Linked DNA regions of Callithrix jacchus. The protein of the gene in region 3 binds, or shares a complex with, the protein of the main gene of each other region. Links are inferred from orthologs where the notes say so. Each region holds a gene or a part of one and is shown on either strand. Other genes may lie near its edges.

Evidence for each region. The genes of interacting proteins can lie anywhere in the genome.
Region 1: NUP98 (region 3) and CETN2 share a complex: the UniProt entries of both Homo sapiens proteins name them as parts of the nuclear pore complex. The link is inferred for Callithrix jacchus from reciprocal best matches to the Homo sapiens genes NUP98 and CETN2.
Region 2: NUP98 (region 3) and NUP107 share a complex: the UniProt entries of both Homo sapiens proteins name them as parts of the nuclear pore complex. The link is inferred for Callithrix jacchus from reciprocal best matches to the Homo sapiens genes NUP98 and NUP107.

The regions. Positions count from the first base shown.
Region 1 is NC_133524.1:148,959,475-148,965,285, forward strand, and holds CETN2 (centrin-2), read right to left. Parts: upstream 3,407-5,811; 5' UTR 3,360-3,406; coding exon 3,357-3,359; exon of another isoform or gene 3,221-3,356; intron 2,466-3,220; coding exon 2,307-2,465; intron 1,987-2,306; coding exon 1,858-1,986; intron 1,453-1,857; coding exon 1,315-1,452; intron 750-1,314; coding exon 660-749; 3' UTR 182-659; downstream 1-181. UniProt on the Homo sapiens protein: Plays a fundamental role in microtubule organizing center structure and function. Required for centriole duplication and correct spindle formation. Has a role in regulating cytokinesis and genome stability via cooperation with CALM1 and CCP110.
Region 2 is NC_133510.1:50,461,125-50,466,882, reverse strand, and holds the start of NUP107 (nuclear pore complex protein Nup107), read left to right. Parts: upstream 1-2,352; 5' UTR 2,353-2,419; coding exon 2,420-2,445; exon of another isoform or gene 2,446-3,032; intron 3,033-4,299; coding exon 4,300-4,391; intron 4,392-4,878; coding exon 4,879-4,965; intron 4,966-5,758. UniProt on the Homo sapiens protein: Plays a role in the nuclear pore complex (NPC) assembly and/or maintenance. Required for the assembly of peripheral proteins into the NPC. May anchor NUP62 to the NPC. Involved in nephrogenesis.
Region 3 is NC_133511.1:69,111,183-69,116,275, forward strand, and holds part of NUP98 (nuclear pore complex protein Nup98-Nup96), read right to left. Parts: intron 2,761-5,093; coding exon 2,606-2,760; intron 1-2,605. UniProt on the Homo sapiens protein: Plays a role in the nuclear pore complex (NPC) assembly and/or maintenance. NUP98 and NUP96 are involved in the bidirectional transport across the NPC. May anchor NUP153 and TPR to the NPC.

The DNA.
Region 1 (5,811 bases), on a different chromosome or scaffold from region 3:
GTTTTACAAACCAGCAGGTTCCCAAGGCAAAAAGCAATTCATGCCAGGAGAGTAGCAAAGGAGTATTCATTTTCTGTCCACAGGCTGGTAAGGAGTTTTGTATAAAACAGGCTGCCTTCAACACAATAGTTGAGAAGATGAACTCACAAAGCTAAAAAACTCATCTCTAGAGAACACAAGGTCAAACTGAGAAAGGTTTTATTTTTAAGTTAAAACAAATAGCATTAACACACATCCAAATGCCAGTGCGAGAGTTCACTGGGTTGTATAAAGAGAAAACTGGAACCACTGAAAAATGACTGCTGCGTATGGTGACACAGGTACCACATGTGCTTGTCTAAGAAGTCGTTCTGTGTTTGTGGATATGTGGAAACGATGCAAGGCAAAATGGCAGGTGCTCGAAGCCTTAAGATCCTTTTCTTCACGCTAATGTGCTCTTGTTTTGCTTTTGAGAATTAGAATAATTAGCAGGTCATTTTACAAAGAACTGTCATATAAAAGAACACTTCCAAAAGGCTAAAATAGGTTCAAGGTCATTATTAAAGTGATACAGGGAGGTCAGTGAGGGAAACATTTGTGTTCTCAAAAGCCAGATTTCACACAATTGCAGGCACTAAATCTAGTTACATGTGCTTGCAGTAGAAAAGAAGACACTGATCTCAATAAAGGCTGGTCTTTTTCATGATGCGCAGGAACTCTTGCTCACTGACCTCTCCATCTCCATCTCGATCAGCTTCATCAATCATTTCCTATATGACAGTAAATATTCAGGTTAGCTTAATTTATAAACTAATTCAAAAAGGTGATTAAGGAATAGACTTTTTTTACAGTCAGGGTCTCTATGCTGCCCACACTAGTGCCAAATTCCTGGCTTCAAGTGATCCTCCTAACTCAGCCTCCCAAAGTACTGGGATTATAGGCATGAGCCACTGTGCCTGGGAAGCAATAGACTTTAATAAAGCTATGTGAAAAGATCATCGTAGTCCACCCAATGCCAGTATGCTACTCCTGATAATAGCCTGGTTCCTGAATAGTTATTTGAAAACCAAGTCATATTTTGTGAAACATATCACCTGGGAGGGAGCTTGAAGACTGCCTTGACTAGAGGGATTCCTGGAACCCAAAATAGTAAGTAAGATTGTGCACCTGTGCATTTTTCTAGAAGCAGGGCTCATAGGTTTGTCTGACTATTAAAGGGACAAGAGTCCACTGGCTTTCCTTCAAAGAGATGCTCACACGAGGAAAAATGTAACAGAAAAGGCACAGAAGGCTGAAAGGTGGGAATCTGAAGTTCCAGTGTGAGGCATTACAAACCTGCAGCTCCTCATCAGTCAGGTTCTCACCCAACTCCTTGGCCACGCGTTTCAGATTTTTGAACGAAATCTTCCCAGTTTCATCATCATCGAAGAGCTTGAAAGCTTTCAGGATTTCTTCTTTGGTATCTTTCTCAGACTTAACAAGTAGAACATAAAACACATGAGTAGGGAGACACCACGGTTACTTGTGTCCTGTAGCCCTGCCGCTGCCCAGTCACCCTCTCCTTTTTAACAATAACTCGAGTCTAGACTTGCAGCCAGTGTCAGGAAGCCCATTTTGGCCTCAGAGAAACACCAGGCAAGCCAGGCACTCCATCCAAGGTGACATTTGCTCCCTATCCCACATCTGTTTCTTAACTGGTTTGGAATTCTGTGGGATGAGGTATCTGCTTGGAAGTCTTGAGAGAGAAGCACAAGGTAACATGACGGGAGGGCAGGCCTGAACTGCTGTGTGCTCACATGACTGTTTTAACAGGCAGATGCCATGGGCCTCTGCAGATGACTGGGGCTCTGTACCATGCCAATTGTCTTAACTACTTACCATTTTCTGGGTCATCACAGTTAAAAAGTCACCAAAGTTCATTTTTCCTGTCCCTTCCTTATCAATTTCACTTATCATTTTCTTAATTTCTTCTTTCTTGGGTTCAAAGCCCAGGGCCCTCATTGCCACCTACAATGAAAACAGGATTGTCTCAATATACACATCTAAACTATAAGAAGCAAAAATAACAGTGTTGAGAGCATTAAGTCCGTATCTGATGTGATCATGTTAATATGATTCGGGAACACTTTAACACAGATCTAATTGATATCTGCAATCCATCTGATAATACTCAAGGTAAGTAAAGACAGGAAAACAGAGCACAGTACAACCTCCCCTGTTACTTACTGCAGGGAGAAGAGGGCAAAAGGGGTAGAGAGGTGATAAAGAGATGACAAGGAAGAGGGAGAGGAAAGGCAGGGCAAACGGCAGGAATGCATAGAGCTTGCCTTAAGTTCCTTAACATCTATGCTGCCAGTTCCATCTGCATCAAAAAGATCAAACGCTTCCCGGATCTCCTGCTTCTGCTCTTCTGTAAGCTCAGGCTTAGGACTCATTCTTTTTCGCTGGGCACTTGACGCCATGTTTGCCTTCTTAAAGCTGGAGGCCTTTATATGTTATGCAAATACATAAGCACAATAATATATAATACAGTCCATATTTACATAACATAGTTACAGACACCTATATGTATTTTTAAAGTCATTTATAACCAATTCCAAAGCTTTGCTTAACAAGAAATATCACAGGGTTTACTATTGTTTCTAGATGCAGGGAGATCATTTGTTCAGTAAGGATATCTCTTATTGAAAATCATCCCAAAAGAGAGCTAGTCAAGAAACTGACTGTGAACAACTAGAGATAATCAGCTCTTCCCGAATGTGGGGAACCTGGTTCTGGAAACAGCCTTAAAATGCCCACTGCCAGTACTCCGCTTCCTAGTAAGTACTCTGACTTCCCAATTACTTCTAGATTTGCCCAAATATTAGGAAGTTAAGATGTATATCGTGTCAGTATCTAATAATAAAACTCAATCCATCTGGCACCTTCGTGCCTTCTCCAAGAAGCTAAAGCATCCCCTTAATGCCCCTATATTTATATTGTAGAAAACATTTTCAAAGAAAACAATACACCTTCTCCCAGTTCTGTGGGGAAACTTTGGCAGAATGAGGCGGCCAGGAGGCCAAGGTCTGAGAGAGTCAGGGGTCTGTGAGGGATTCGAGTCTTTTTTGCCCAGGGAGGGTCACCGAGGGGACCAGGGAACGCCAGGGGAGCCTGAGGGGCGGGTGTGGGCCTGTCGTGGGTGAAGGGGAGGCAGTAGCGAAGCGCAGGCCCAGTAGGTTGGTTAGCGCCTGTACCCTACCCTTCCGGGAAAGAGCTCAAAGGAAGGACTGTACGCCAAAGCCGAGAAAGGCGCAGGAGAGGCGGCGTGGCACAGCCGGGGCTTGGGAAGGGCTCAACCTCTGGGCGTGGGGCGCGACGGAGCGGCCAGCACTCACCATAGCCAAAGGACTCCGCTGCCGGTTGTTAGGCAACCGCAGTATACACTGACTCGGCCCCGTTCCCACCGCCCCCTGCGCGCAGCCCCGCTCTCCATTGGCCGTCTTCTGGCCCTCGCCGCTCTCCATTGGTTCAGGGCCGAAGTGGGTGGAATTAACCTGGCAAAGCCCTGGACCAGCGCGGGGAGGGGCACGCTGGCGACACAGGCCAGTCATAACTGGGCAAGATCACGCCGCGAGCGCCAATTGGCTTAGCCAACGCTGAGCTGGGCCAATCCTCTTGGTGGAGGAAGCTCGGCTGATTCTCGTCTCACGCGGGAGGGTAGTAAAGGGTGGCGGTCTGAGGCTAGAGTTCGGTGGGTGCAGCCTGCTTGCGAGCTGAGGCCAGCCAGGGGGGCGCCTACAGACGGGTAAGAGTCGTGGTCTTGCCCTTGGAAGTCACCTTGTGTCAGCGACTGGGCAGGGCGGGAGAGTGAAGAGCTGCGGGGCCTCCCGGGTCGGGTGCTTTCTGGGCTGACCTCAGGCTGAGTTAGGGACCGAGTGCATCAGAGCCCCCAGATGCTACTGACCTTGCGTGTTGGAGCAGGGGCTGTACTCACGGGGCAGCTGAGACCCAGAGAGGGGAAGGGGTGTGCTGAGCGTCGTTGCAGAGGTCGGACTGCTGGTACCTAGGAACTGAATCCAGCCGAGGTTCGCTCTTTGAGGGTGGCCCTTCGAGAGCACTCCCAGACTGCCCCAGAAGTATAGGCCCCAGATCAGGTTCCAAGAGGGGATCACTTTAGGTCTCACGTGGCTAAAAGCAGCCCAGGACGGTGAACTGGGGGCTTTGGGAACGGACTTTGAAAGGAGTGAGGGGGATGTGAGCGAGCATGAGGGGCCGGGAGAGGTCATCAAAATATACTCTTTTTGACACCCACTCAAGACAGATAAGGAGGAGCATTCCAGGCCGAGATGCCCTCATAAGCAAAGTCCCAAGAGTTTTGGAAGTTACTGGTATGCTTGGAGAATTCAAAGGGAGCATGTGCAAGGGCTGTGGACTGAGATAGACCTGCAGAAAGGGAGCTGGAGGTCCAATTTGCCCACTTTCGCTATTCCCGTGGCTTTCGGCCTTCACCTGTCTTTCCTCCAGGCATTGGGGCAGTAATCTAGGGAGGCAGAGGGCAGAGAGTAAGTTTCTCAGGCAGAGAAAGGCCCGAGGCTTATTAGAACCTTTTAAATGGAGCTTCTGCCCTTTGCCCTCTTCCTTCTTCAGCAGTGAACAGATTCATCATCAGCCTCCCAAGTAGTCCGAGCCAGAGTTCTCACCATGCCCTCTGCAAAGCCTATTACTCTTCTCTCCTCAGGCTCACTCCAGCCCCACAATACTGGCTTTGTCGTTGAACCTCATGTGCCAGCCACACTCCTGCCTCTCATTTTTGTCCCAGTTGTTCCCTCTGCCTGCCTCCTCTTAAGCAGTCCCCGGTACAAACAAGCCACTCACCTTGCTCTACTTTTTTTCCAATAGTACTTACCACCTTCTGACCTACTGTATATTTTGCTTATTTATTTTGTTCTCTGTTCTCCCTCCACTAGAAAGCAGGCTGTCTGAGGGCAGGCATCTTTGTGGTATTCACTACTGGTACTCCAGGATCTGGAACAGAGAGGGGAACATATCAGGTGCTCAGTAAATCTTGGTCAGACAACAGATGAGTAGTCTCCTGTTTCCTACCTCTCACCTATCTAGTCCCCCCTGCTCTGCCAGGCTCATCTTCATAGTAAACAGCTCTGGTCAGGGCAGCTCCCAGCTCTTAAACCTTCAGAGCCTGTACTGTAAAGGGCTCCTTAGCCTGGCATGTGATCCCTCTGCCCAGTTTTGCCCCTGCTAACCCTTCTAGCTTAATGTCCCTCCACACCTTGCTTCCCCATCCATCAGCCTGCAGATTGGAAGCCTGACAGTACAAGGGACAAACAAGTTCTGCCCAGGTTGTGTGCAGCCTGTGTGACCTTGGACAAGTTGCTTAACCTCTCTGAGTCTGCTTCTCATTTGTCGAGTGAGACCAGTACTGTCTGCCTGATGGGATACTTTCAAACCTCAATGTGATATGTAAAGTGGCCTGATGTTGAGCAGGTCTTCAGGCAGTATTACAGTTGACCCCTGAACAGCATGGGTTTCAACCTTGTGGGTCTGCCTACAGGCAGATTTTCTCTCATCTCTGCCACCCCTGAGCAGCAAGATCAACTCCTCGTCTTCCTTCTCAGCCTACTCAGCATGAAGACCATTCACTCAATGAATAGTAAATATATTTCCTCTTCCTTATGATTTCGTAATAACATTTTCTCTAGTTTAATTGATGGCTGGAACACATATAACATACGAAATATTCGTTGATCAACTGTTTACATTATTGGTAAGGCTTGCAGCCAACAGTAAGCTCTATTAATAAAGTTTTAGGTGAGTTAAAAGTTCTACGTGGAT
Region 2 (5,758 bases), on a different chromosome or scaffold from region 3:
ATACAAATATATACCACATAAGAAATTTATTCCAAATCCTTTATGGTAATGAAATGAGTATGTTTTGAAATTTTGGTGGGGGCCATATGGTGTTCATCCCTAGTAATTAAATGTGTCAAAGAGAAACGCAGTGCACTTTCCAGAAAGTTTTCTGTCTTTGCATATGTACTGAACACAGGGCTAATTTTTTTTGCCCCAAACTGCTCTTCTTTCTTATTGTGTGCTTCATGGTCAACCACCTCAAGTACACTTCAGTTATATTACATGAATAAAACTCACTGGAATTCAATTGCTGAGGGACATGGAGCAAGAACCTGAACCACAGATAACACTTTGAATTAACTTGCCCCAGCACTGACAAAAATCATTAGCACCACATTTTGCTTTCTATAAGAACAAGCGTACTTTTTGTACAGGAAAATTAGGAGGTTGGGAGAATGAGACCACACCAGGGCATAATTCTTCAAAAAGGTTATTGAAGGAGTAAAGTAACATTTCGATGACCTGCTATGTACAGTGTATATTTGATGTCTCTCTCTCATGCCCACTCCCCTACTTTTTAAAAAATATTTGTGATGGTGCAGTGGTTCACGCCTGTAATTCCAGCACTTTGGGAGACCAAGGCAGGTGGATCACATGATGTCAGGAGTTTGAGACCAGCCTGATCCATATGGAGAAACCCCATCTCTACTAAAAATGCAAAAAATTAGCCCGGCATGGTGGTGCATTCCAGTAATCCCAGTTATTTAAGAAGCTGAAGCAGAATTGTTTAAACCTGGGAGGCAGAGGTTGCAGTGAGCCAATCTCATGTCACTGCACTCCATCCTGGGTGATAAAGCGAGACCCTGCCTCAAAAAAAAAAAAAAAAAATATATATATATATATATATATATATTGCAGAAACAGGGTCTCATGTTGTTGCCCAGGCTGGTCTCAAACTCTTGGGCCCAAGCCATCCCTCCCACCTGGACCTCCCAAAGTGCTGGGATTACAGGGGTAGCCACCGCACCCGACAGTGCTTAGCTTTTTCATAGATGTAGCTTTTTCCTTGCTTGCAGACTTCGCAGTGAGCCGAGATCACGCCACGGCCCTCCAGCCTGGACTAGAGCGAGACATAATCTCAAAAAGAAAAGAAAAAAAAGCTCAGCACTGTCACCAGGAATATATGGCAAGAAAAGCTGGCAATTTCTACATATCTGTGAAACCCAAAATGTCATTTGCAATAAGGATCAAATGTATCAATAGTGTAAGCCCAAAAGTCTGTGGCAACTTCTTCACTTTCCCCAGATTGTCAATGGCACCTTTGTTAAACTCAACAAGGTTTCGGTTAACAATGTTGAGGATTGCAGAACCACCTATTGCATGGGGCACCTGAACCTGAAATCAACAAATAAACTGATATACCTACTGGTTATAGTAAAACCAATAAACAAATTACCTTAACAGAGATAACTCTTTAATTGCTAGATCTCTTGATAAATATGGCATCATCTGACTGGAGAATCTGATTCGAGAGCTCTATGTTGTTGAAAAATTCTTCAAGTTCCCGTGATCCTTCAAATTATCTTCTCCACGAGGTAGAATGAAGGACTACCTATTTTGTATTAATGAAAGGTATAAATGCCAGCAACAGAAAAGACCATATCAACAGGCTTATTAAATGGATAAACTGAGGTGTCTAATATTATTTTTGTAATCTTATCAGTTAATAACCAGTCACTACTTTCAAATATGAAAAAAAACAAAAATGTGACTCCTTCAAGACCAAAATATAACCACTATTTGCCTACACGGCACTTTGAATAGAGGGCAATACCATCATATTTTACGCTTGCCTTTCTACTTTTTAATACGGGTGAACTTTTTTTCCTCCATAGCAAAAAATACCAAGTAAAGAACAAATAGCAGTTATGGAAAATACTTTCAAAAACTGTATGAAGCTACAGCACAAAGGACTGAGCGTAGGGAGAGAAACAGAAATTTCTCGAGGCAGAGCCCACATATCTGAATTCCAACAACAGGCGCTTTCTGAGAGAATACCAGGTAATGACTTCACATTTTTCCAGACTATCAACATAATTCGTTTTTCCCAGTAGGAGAACCCAACGCCTGTTCCACGCCCACAGACATCGGTCAGGCAAAGCGGCCGCAACGCTTCCGGGCTAAACGCGACTAGGTCCCGCCCCCGGTCCTGTCTGGTCCAGCCAGGCACAAGTTGGCAAACTTTGCGCCTGCGCCCACCGGGCTAGCTCATGTAGGCTCAAGTCGCGCATGCGCTAGGTGGGAACGTTGTTTCTTCTCCCCTGCGCTTTTTCTGTGGGGCTGTTTTAGGGAGAGTGCTTCCAGGTCGAAAGGCTTGCTTCCGGAGAGCGGGAAGGCTAAAACGCGGTAACTAAACTGGAGCCAACCTTGGTTCTGTATGGAAAAGGCTTTAGCCATGGACAGGTCAGTTCTGATCGTGGGAGCTGAGCCCGAAGTCTTGTCCCTCTCGCCTGCTGGCGAAACGAAATAGGTGAAACTAGACTCCCAGAAAAAGCCAAGGAGGAGGTCCCGGGTGCTTCCCCTAAGACTCCTTCCCCAGGCCAGGAAATTTGGCTACAAATGCGGAAAAGGTCGCTTGGCTTGCGTCGGGGTGGGATACGGATTATGATGGTTCCCTACATTCTCACTGTGTTCTGCGATCTATTCGGCGCTTTGGGGCAGCAACACTATTCTTTCCTGAGGTGGGCGGGGTAGGTAGCCCGGCGTTCTACATGCTGAGTGACCAGCCTGAGATCACAAAGCCAGTCAATGAAGATACTGGGATCTCAGCCCAGACTTTCTGATCACAAGTGCCAGCATCAAATACTGGGTTCCTTCTATAATCTGGGTATTATGCTAGCCGGCTGCAACAAAGATCAGTTATTCAAGATCCTTCACCTCGGGGAATTGGTTGTGTAGTGGAGACAACCAAGCATATAAAGTGATAAGTGTTTTGGAACGATTAAGTCTCCCTGTCACTATATAACTATCAGGAAGACCTCTCGAAGAAGGTAACTTTCTAGTTGGTGTTTGAGTAATAATAGTACATTATTGGTACTCCAAACCTTGAGTACTGCTATGTGACTGCATTGTTCCAAAGGATTTGAATATATATTATTAGCTTGTTTAATCTTCAGAACAAGAAAAATTCTATGAAAATATGTGCTGTTATCCTTTTTTCATAGATACCACTGAGACTAAAAGAGGTTAAGGAACTTGCTGAAAGTTAGAAGGCTAGTAGTAAATACAAGGACCAAATTCCCAACCTGCATCTGTGTGTCTCCAGGCTACCTGGGGCTCTTTGAGGAGTAAGTAGTTGTTGACCAGGTGCTCAAGGGAGCCACTGTAGGTCGTTTTAAAAGAAACTTATTCAAAGGTGTTAGGATATAGAAAAAAGTACGTGCTTTGTCGGCAGTCACATGCAGAATATGTTTAAAGCGATATTTGTGGCTGAATATAAGACTGAACCTCTAAACTGGGGTCACATTGTAAATAGCTTTTTAGGGAATTTGTACTTCTATAGACTAGAGAGAGATATCTGAAGTTTTTTTTGTTGTTGTTTTTTAATTAAACCTTTTAAATTTTGTTTTGGTTATTGTTTTCCATACTTTCTTGCTGAAGGAATATCTGAAGGTTTTAAGTGGAGGAAAAGCATATCAGATTCTTGCCTTAAACATAGGCCTTTTCATCCACACAATTTCGTTTCTAGACCTTTGAGTGAAAATGACAGGGAGTGATGTGATGGGACAGGAGACATCCTGGGTTGAAATAATTTGAAGGATCATTCTGCTCCATTTACCAGAATTCTTTTATTTACCCTCTTATCTCACAAGCTCTGTTTTGTGTTGTTGTTTGTTTTTCAGTGGTACCTGTGTTTTAAAGCATTTTGGAGACTGCAGAAAATCTTTTAAGAGAGAATTCCTGTAATTAGATAACTCCTCAATCCAACAAGGGAAATGAGATTGACTTTTATGAAGCAGTTATCTAAAACAGTGTTATAGATTCCAAGTGTTGAAATAATTCCTTAGGAGAAAATAACATAGTGAGTACTAGAAAGTCAGAGAAGTCTTTGTGCAGGTAAGATTTGAGTAAGGCTTTGAAGAATAAGCAGGATTTGGAGCCAGGAGTGCATTCTCAGCAAAAGATCTAAGACTTGGCTATTGGAATGACCTATACCACAACTTACTCAGAGCCCTTTACTCCAGCTGTGATGATAAAATTCTTTTACAAATACTACATTCTCATTTCACTTATGTAAGCTTGATTATACTACTTTAGGAGTGGCTTTGGAGATATATCATCCCCTGTTATCCGGGAGGCAGAGGTGACACGGACTGCACGGAAACAGAGTGCTCAAAAAAGAGTTTTAAGTATCCTTTGCGATTTAAGCATCATTATAAAAATTGTAACATGCTTGGAATCGGTGTTGTAGAATTTTCTTTTATGAGAGTATTAAATGTTAGCTGTAATAAAATCCTGTAGAAATTTTTTTTCACTCTGCGGAACTGTCATTTGGTAAATATAATGCTAAAATTTAATGAGATTATGTTTCCCTAAGAATAAAGATATTTCATTTTACTACTGACTATCATATTGTGGTTAGCTTCTGCTGAAATTAGATTTTTTTATTATTTGAAAACTGACTAAAAACATTTAGTTCAGTAGTTATCTAAGACTGACATCTGAGAATTTAAATGGCAGAAGGAATCATTTACCCTTTGCATAGAAAAATAGTAGCCATAAAATACCTTATTCTTGGTAAATGTATTCACATAATTTGTATAGTAAAAATATTGTTAGTTCTCACTTTAATGATCTCTTTTCTACGTGGAAAACTTTTCTTAACTCATTGTACAGTTCAGTCATCTCAAGATGAAAATTTTGGTAATACTACACCAAGAAACCAGGTTATTCCTCGAACTCCTAGCTCATTTCGACAGCCTTGTAAGACTTTTTTGCTTTTAAAGCACTTAATAATAATGATAATTATAATAGCAGCTAACATTTATTGTAGAACAATTAGTATTTGGTTACTATATCAATAATTAAGCACAAATAATAATGATTGCAGTTATTTGTTGAACTCTTGCCATGTACAAAGTACTGTATTTTACATAAACACACAGTAACTATGACATAGGTATTGTTAATTCTATTTTACCAAAACTGAAAGCAAGACTTAGAGAAGTTATAATATAGGCAATAAGTATGTAAATAAGCTGGATACAGTGGCTCACGCCTGTAATCTCAACACTTTGGGAGGCTGAGGTGGGCAGATCACTTGAGGCTAGGAGTTCGAGATCAGCTTGGCCAACATGGTGAAACTCCATCTCTACTAAGAATACAAAAATTAGCTGGCGTAGTGGGTCATGCTTGTAATCCCAGCTACTCAGGAGGCTGAGGCAGGAGAATTGCCTGAACCAAGGAGGTAGAGGTTGCAGTGAGCTGCGATTGTGCCACTGTACTCCAGCCAGGGCGAAAGAGTAAGACTCTGTAAAGTATGTAAATAATGGAATTGGGATTCAAACAATGATCTGTTTACTCCAAAGTTTATGCCCACTGCAATTCACTGCCTCGGTAAGCCTTATAAAATTAAAACATGAAGAGTCCATTGACTCATTAGTGTTTTTAACTGCTCAGTTATGCTATAATGAAAGCATCCATAATTGCAGTAAGATTTTTCCTGATAGGCTCAGTAGTACCTAGAACTCAAATTTAGAAAAATAACTTAAATCCT
Region 3 (5,093 bases):
CACTCCAGCCTGGGTAACAAGAGCGAAACTCCGTCTCAAAAATAAAAGAAAATAAACAATAAAACATGAAACAGTAATAAATCCTGAAAAATCACAAGCCATGCAGATAATTTAAACAGGTGGATGTGGCAGAGAGAAACTGGATGGCTACTTGAGACTGAAGGATAAGAGACGCTTCTTTAAGGAGGTCATATTTAAGTTGAGACCTGCTAAAAGAGAACAGCTAAAACCCCAAAAGGTGGGAATTCAAAGGAGATTTACATGGTAACATGTGGGGTAAGGAAGAGAAGTAGAATAAGATAATACTAGAGAGGTTTTATGTAACAAGATATCTTTTTTTTATTTTTTGGAGAAGGGAGGTCTCACTATGCTGTACGGGCTGGTCTCAAGCAATCCTACCTCAGCCTCCCAAAGTGCTAGTATTACAGGCATGCACCACCACATCCAGCTATGCGCTGGCATACTGACAGTACTCTTTGTTTAATGCTACACTTATCATGCTACAGTAATTGTTGCTTTACTTGTATCTCCCCCACCAAATCTTCACGTTGGTAAGGGCAGAACACATACTGTTTACTTTTACATTCCCCAAACCCACTAGAGTGCCTGGCACAGTGGGTTCTCAGTAATAGGTTGTGTGAATGAATCATTCAATATTCAATGAGAAAGTGGTTTCTTCAAGTGATTATTCAGAAATGATGCTCTTAATTCATACTAAAAGTACAGCAAACATTGAATTATGCCCATTATGTGCCAGGCACTATACTAGGAGTTGAAACTTTGATGAGGATAATAATAAATAACAATTATCAAGCATTTAGTAGAGGCCAAGGTGGGTGGATCATTTGAGGTCAGGAGTTTGAGACCACTCTGGCCAACATGGTGAAACCCCGTCTCTACTAAAAATAAAAATTAGTTGGGTGTGGTGGCACACACCTGTAATCCCAGCTACTGGGGAGGCTGAGGCAGGAGAATTGTTTGAAGCTGGGAGATGGAAAATGGAAGATGCAGTCAGCTGAGATTATGCCACTGCACTCCAACCTGGGTGACAGAGCAAAACTCTGCCTTAAAAAAAAAAAAAAGGTATTTAGTACATGAAAGGCACTATGCTAAACACTTTGAGTATATTTTGTTTAACCTTTGTGAAAATCTATCAGATATGAGCTATAATCTGTACCACTGTCTACCCCACCCACTTTTTTCTTTCAGACGAGACAAAGGGGGTGGTTAACTTGCACAAGATTGCACAGCCAGTGAATTTGGAAGCCATGAATTGAAATTATGAGTCTAATTCTAGAACTTGAGCTGTTAATTCCTATACTTTACTGCCTCTAACCTTAAAAGATTTCTCCATAAGGGGCTTATGGCAACCTGGAAATGTGAACAAGTAACTACAACATGGTCTGACGGTAGAAAAATGCACTAAGTATCTTGGTAGTAAGAAAGTGCAATTAATTATCTCTGGGGGAAAAGGAGGGAGAAGTAGGGCTAACAGCAACCTAGATGTTAAAGGATGGGTTTAAGTGTGCTAGGTAAAGTGTGGAACATAATATGGTTTGTTAGAAACACCAGAAGTAATTTAGTGTGAGTACAGCAGGGCAGCAAGGCTGGAATGTGAAATGAGTGGTAGGAGTAAGGCTGGAAAGGTAAAGGCCTCAAAAAGGACTTAAATCCTATATTTATTAAAATGAGTTTGGTTTTTGTACCATAAGCAAGCGGTGGAGACCCATTTTATGACTACAAAGACTGACCTTAAGGCTGGGTGCAGTAGCTCATGCATACACCCAGCACTTTGGGAGGCCAAGGCGGGCTGATGATTTGAGGCCAGGAGTTCAAGACCAGCTTGGCCAATGTGGTAAAACACTGTTTCTACTAAAAATACAAAAATTAGCTGGGTGTGGTGGCACACCACTATAGTCCCAGCTACTTGGGAGGCTGAGGCGTAAGAATCACTTAAGCCTGGGTGACAGAGCAAGACTCTGTTTCAATAAAAAAAAAAACAACAAAAAAAAACTGACCCAAGACATTTTAATAAAGACTTAACCATTTTGCAACTTTAAAACCTGCCAAATTAACTATTTTGCTATTTTAAAACATGCCAAATAATGTGTGAAACAATGATCCTCATCGAATCTTCATTCTTAATCTCTCATCTTTGGGTTTTTCACTCAAACTAGGGCTGAACAAGGGAAAGGGACTGTCTATGGACAAGCCTCAGGAATGTCTATTGCACATACTAGTTGTTAATAAACATAAAAAAGCGTTTTTAGGGCTGGGCACGGTGGCTCACACCTGTAATCCCAGAACTCTGGGAGGCCAAGGTGGGCAGATCATCTGAGGTTGGGAGTTAGAGACCAGCCTGACCAATATAGTGAAACCCCATCTTATATATTTAAAAAAAAAAAAAAAAAAAAGCATTTTTAAGTTTCAATACAGCTGTCAAAATGGTTATATCAAATGAGCCTCAGCAAGATGTCCTGCCTGCTTTTACAGTAATATGTCTGCCAATGCGTTCTCAAGTATATACTAAGGCCTTGTGAGGGCTCTAAAGATGGAAGGGCCTGAGAAAAGGAAAATCAGGCAGCAATTTCAGGATCTCAGGTACCTGCTGTATACGGTGGAGCATGTCAATGACTCTAATGTAGTCCAGGTAAACAAGTCCAGATGTTTCCCAATCCTGAATTAGGCTGCTGCGCTCTGGAGGTGCCAAGTCTTCCAAGAACCCCTTCAGGTAGTCATATTTCTCATTAATGATGGCATCTGAAGAAACAAAATATTGAGAACAATGTCTGCACAAGTGCACGGTTTCTAAAAGTACAGAAGACATGGCAGGAAGACAGAAAGCAAGGAGAAATAATGTTGGACTTCAGAATTAAAAGCGCATACAGGCATACCTCAGAGATACTGTGGGTTCCATTTCAGAACACCACGATAAAGCAAGTATCGTAATAAAGTCACATAAATTTTTTGATTGTTTGGTTATGTTTATAGTATACTTCTGTTGTCTATTAAGTGTGCAATGATAGCATTATGTCTAAAAACCAACATACATACCTTAATTAAAAAATATTTTATTGCTAAAAATGTTAACAATCACTTGAGCCTTCAGCATGCCATCTTTTTGCTGGTGGAGGGTCTTGCCTTGATGCTGATGGCTGCTGACTGATCAGGGTGTTGGTTGCTGAAGGATGGGATGGCTATGCTAATTTCTTAAAACAAGGTAACAGTGAAGTTTGCCATATCAATTGACTCTTCCTTTTATGAATGATTTCCCTTGTAGCACGGCATGCTGTTTGATTGCATTTTACCTACAGTGGAACTTCTTTAGAAACGGAAGTCAGTTCTCTCAAACCCAGCTGCTGCTTTATCAACTAGGCTTAAATAATATTCCAAATCCTTTGCTGGCATTTCAACAATGTTCACAGCATCTTCACCAGGAACAAATTCAATCTCAAGAAACCACTTTCTTTGCTTGTCTATATAAAGCAATTCCTCATGAGTGACACCAGTTCAGTCACATCTTCAGGGCCCACTTCTAGTTATCTTGCTGTTTCCATCACATCTGTGATATTTCTCCCACTAAAGTCTTGAACCTTTCAAAGTCATCCATGAGGGCCGGATTCAACGTCTTCCATACGCCTGTCATTTAATGTTGATATTTTGACATCCTTCCATGAATCACAAATGCTTTTTGTGTTTTTTAGTTGGAATCTCACTCTCATTCAGGCTGGAGTGCAGTGGTGCCATCTCAGCTCAATGCAACCTCTGCCTCTCAGGCTCAAGTGATCCTCCTTCCCACCTCAGCCTCCCAAATAGCTGAAACCACAGGTGTGTGCCACTATGCCCGGATAATTTTTTGTATTTTTGGTGGAGATGGGATTTCACCACGTTGCCCAACCTGGTCTCAAACTACTGAGCTCAAGTGATCTGCTCATCTTGGCCTCCCAAAGTGCTGGGATTATAGGCGTGAGCCACCATGCCTGGCCCCAAATATTCTTTTTTTTTTTCATTTCATTTTATTTATTTATTTTTAGGGGGCACCCGGATTTGAACCGAGGACCTCTTGATATGCAGTCAAATATTTTTGCTTTTAAGACAGAATCTCCCTCTATTACCCAGGCTGGAGTGCAGTGGTATGATCATGGCTCACTGCAGCCTCAACCTCCTGGGCTCAAGCAATACTCCTGCCTCAGCCTACTGAGTAGCTGAAATTACAGGCACATACCACCATGCCCGGCCAATTGCTAATGTTCATCTCCCCCAACCCACCCAGACAGCATCTCACTGTGTTGCCCAGGCAGGAATGCACTGGCATGATCATGGTTCACTGCAGCCTCAACCTCCCCAGGCTCAGGTGATCCTCTAATCTCAGCCTCATAAATAGCTGAGTATAATACAGGCATGTGCCACCACACTCAGCTAATATTTGTATTTTCTGCAGAAACTCGCCTTCACCATGTTGCCCAGGCTGGTCGCGAACTCCTGGGGCTCTAGCAATCTGCCTGCCTTGGCCTCCCAAAGTGCTGGGATTATAGGTATAAGCCACTGTACCCTGCCCACAAATACATCTACAATGGTGAATCCTTTCCAAAAGGTTTTCATTTACTTTCCCAGATCCATCAGAGAAATCGCTACCTATGGCAGCTATAGTCTTATGAAATGTATTTCTTAAATAATAAAGTCTAAAAGCTGAATTACTCCTTAACCCATGGGTTGCAGGGTGGATGTGTTAGCAGGCATGAAAACAGCATTAATCTCCTTGTACATCTCCATCAGAGCTCTTGACTGACTGGGTGTATCATTGACGAACAGTAATATTTTGAAAGATTTTTTTCTGAGCAGGTTTCAACAGCAGGCTTAAAGTATGCAGTAAACTGAGCTATAAGCAGAAGTGCTGTCATCCAGGCCTTGTTCCATTTACAGAACACAGGCAGAGTAGATTCAGCATAATTCTTAAGGGCCCTATGATTTTTAGAATGGTAAGTGAGCACTGGCTTCAACTTAAAAGTCACCAGCTGCATTAGCCCAAATCAGAGTCAGCTTGTCCTCTGAAGCTTTGAAGCCAGGCATTGACTTTTCTTCTCTAGCTATGA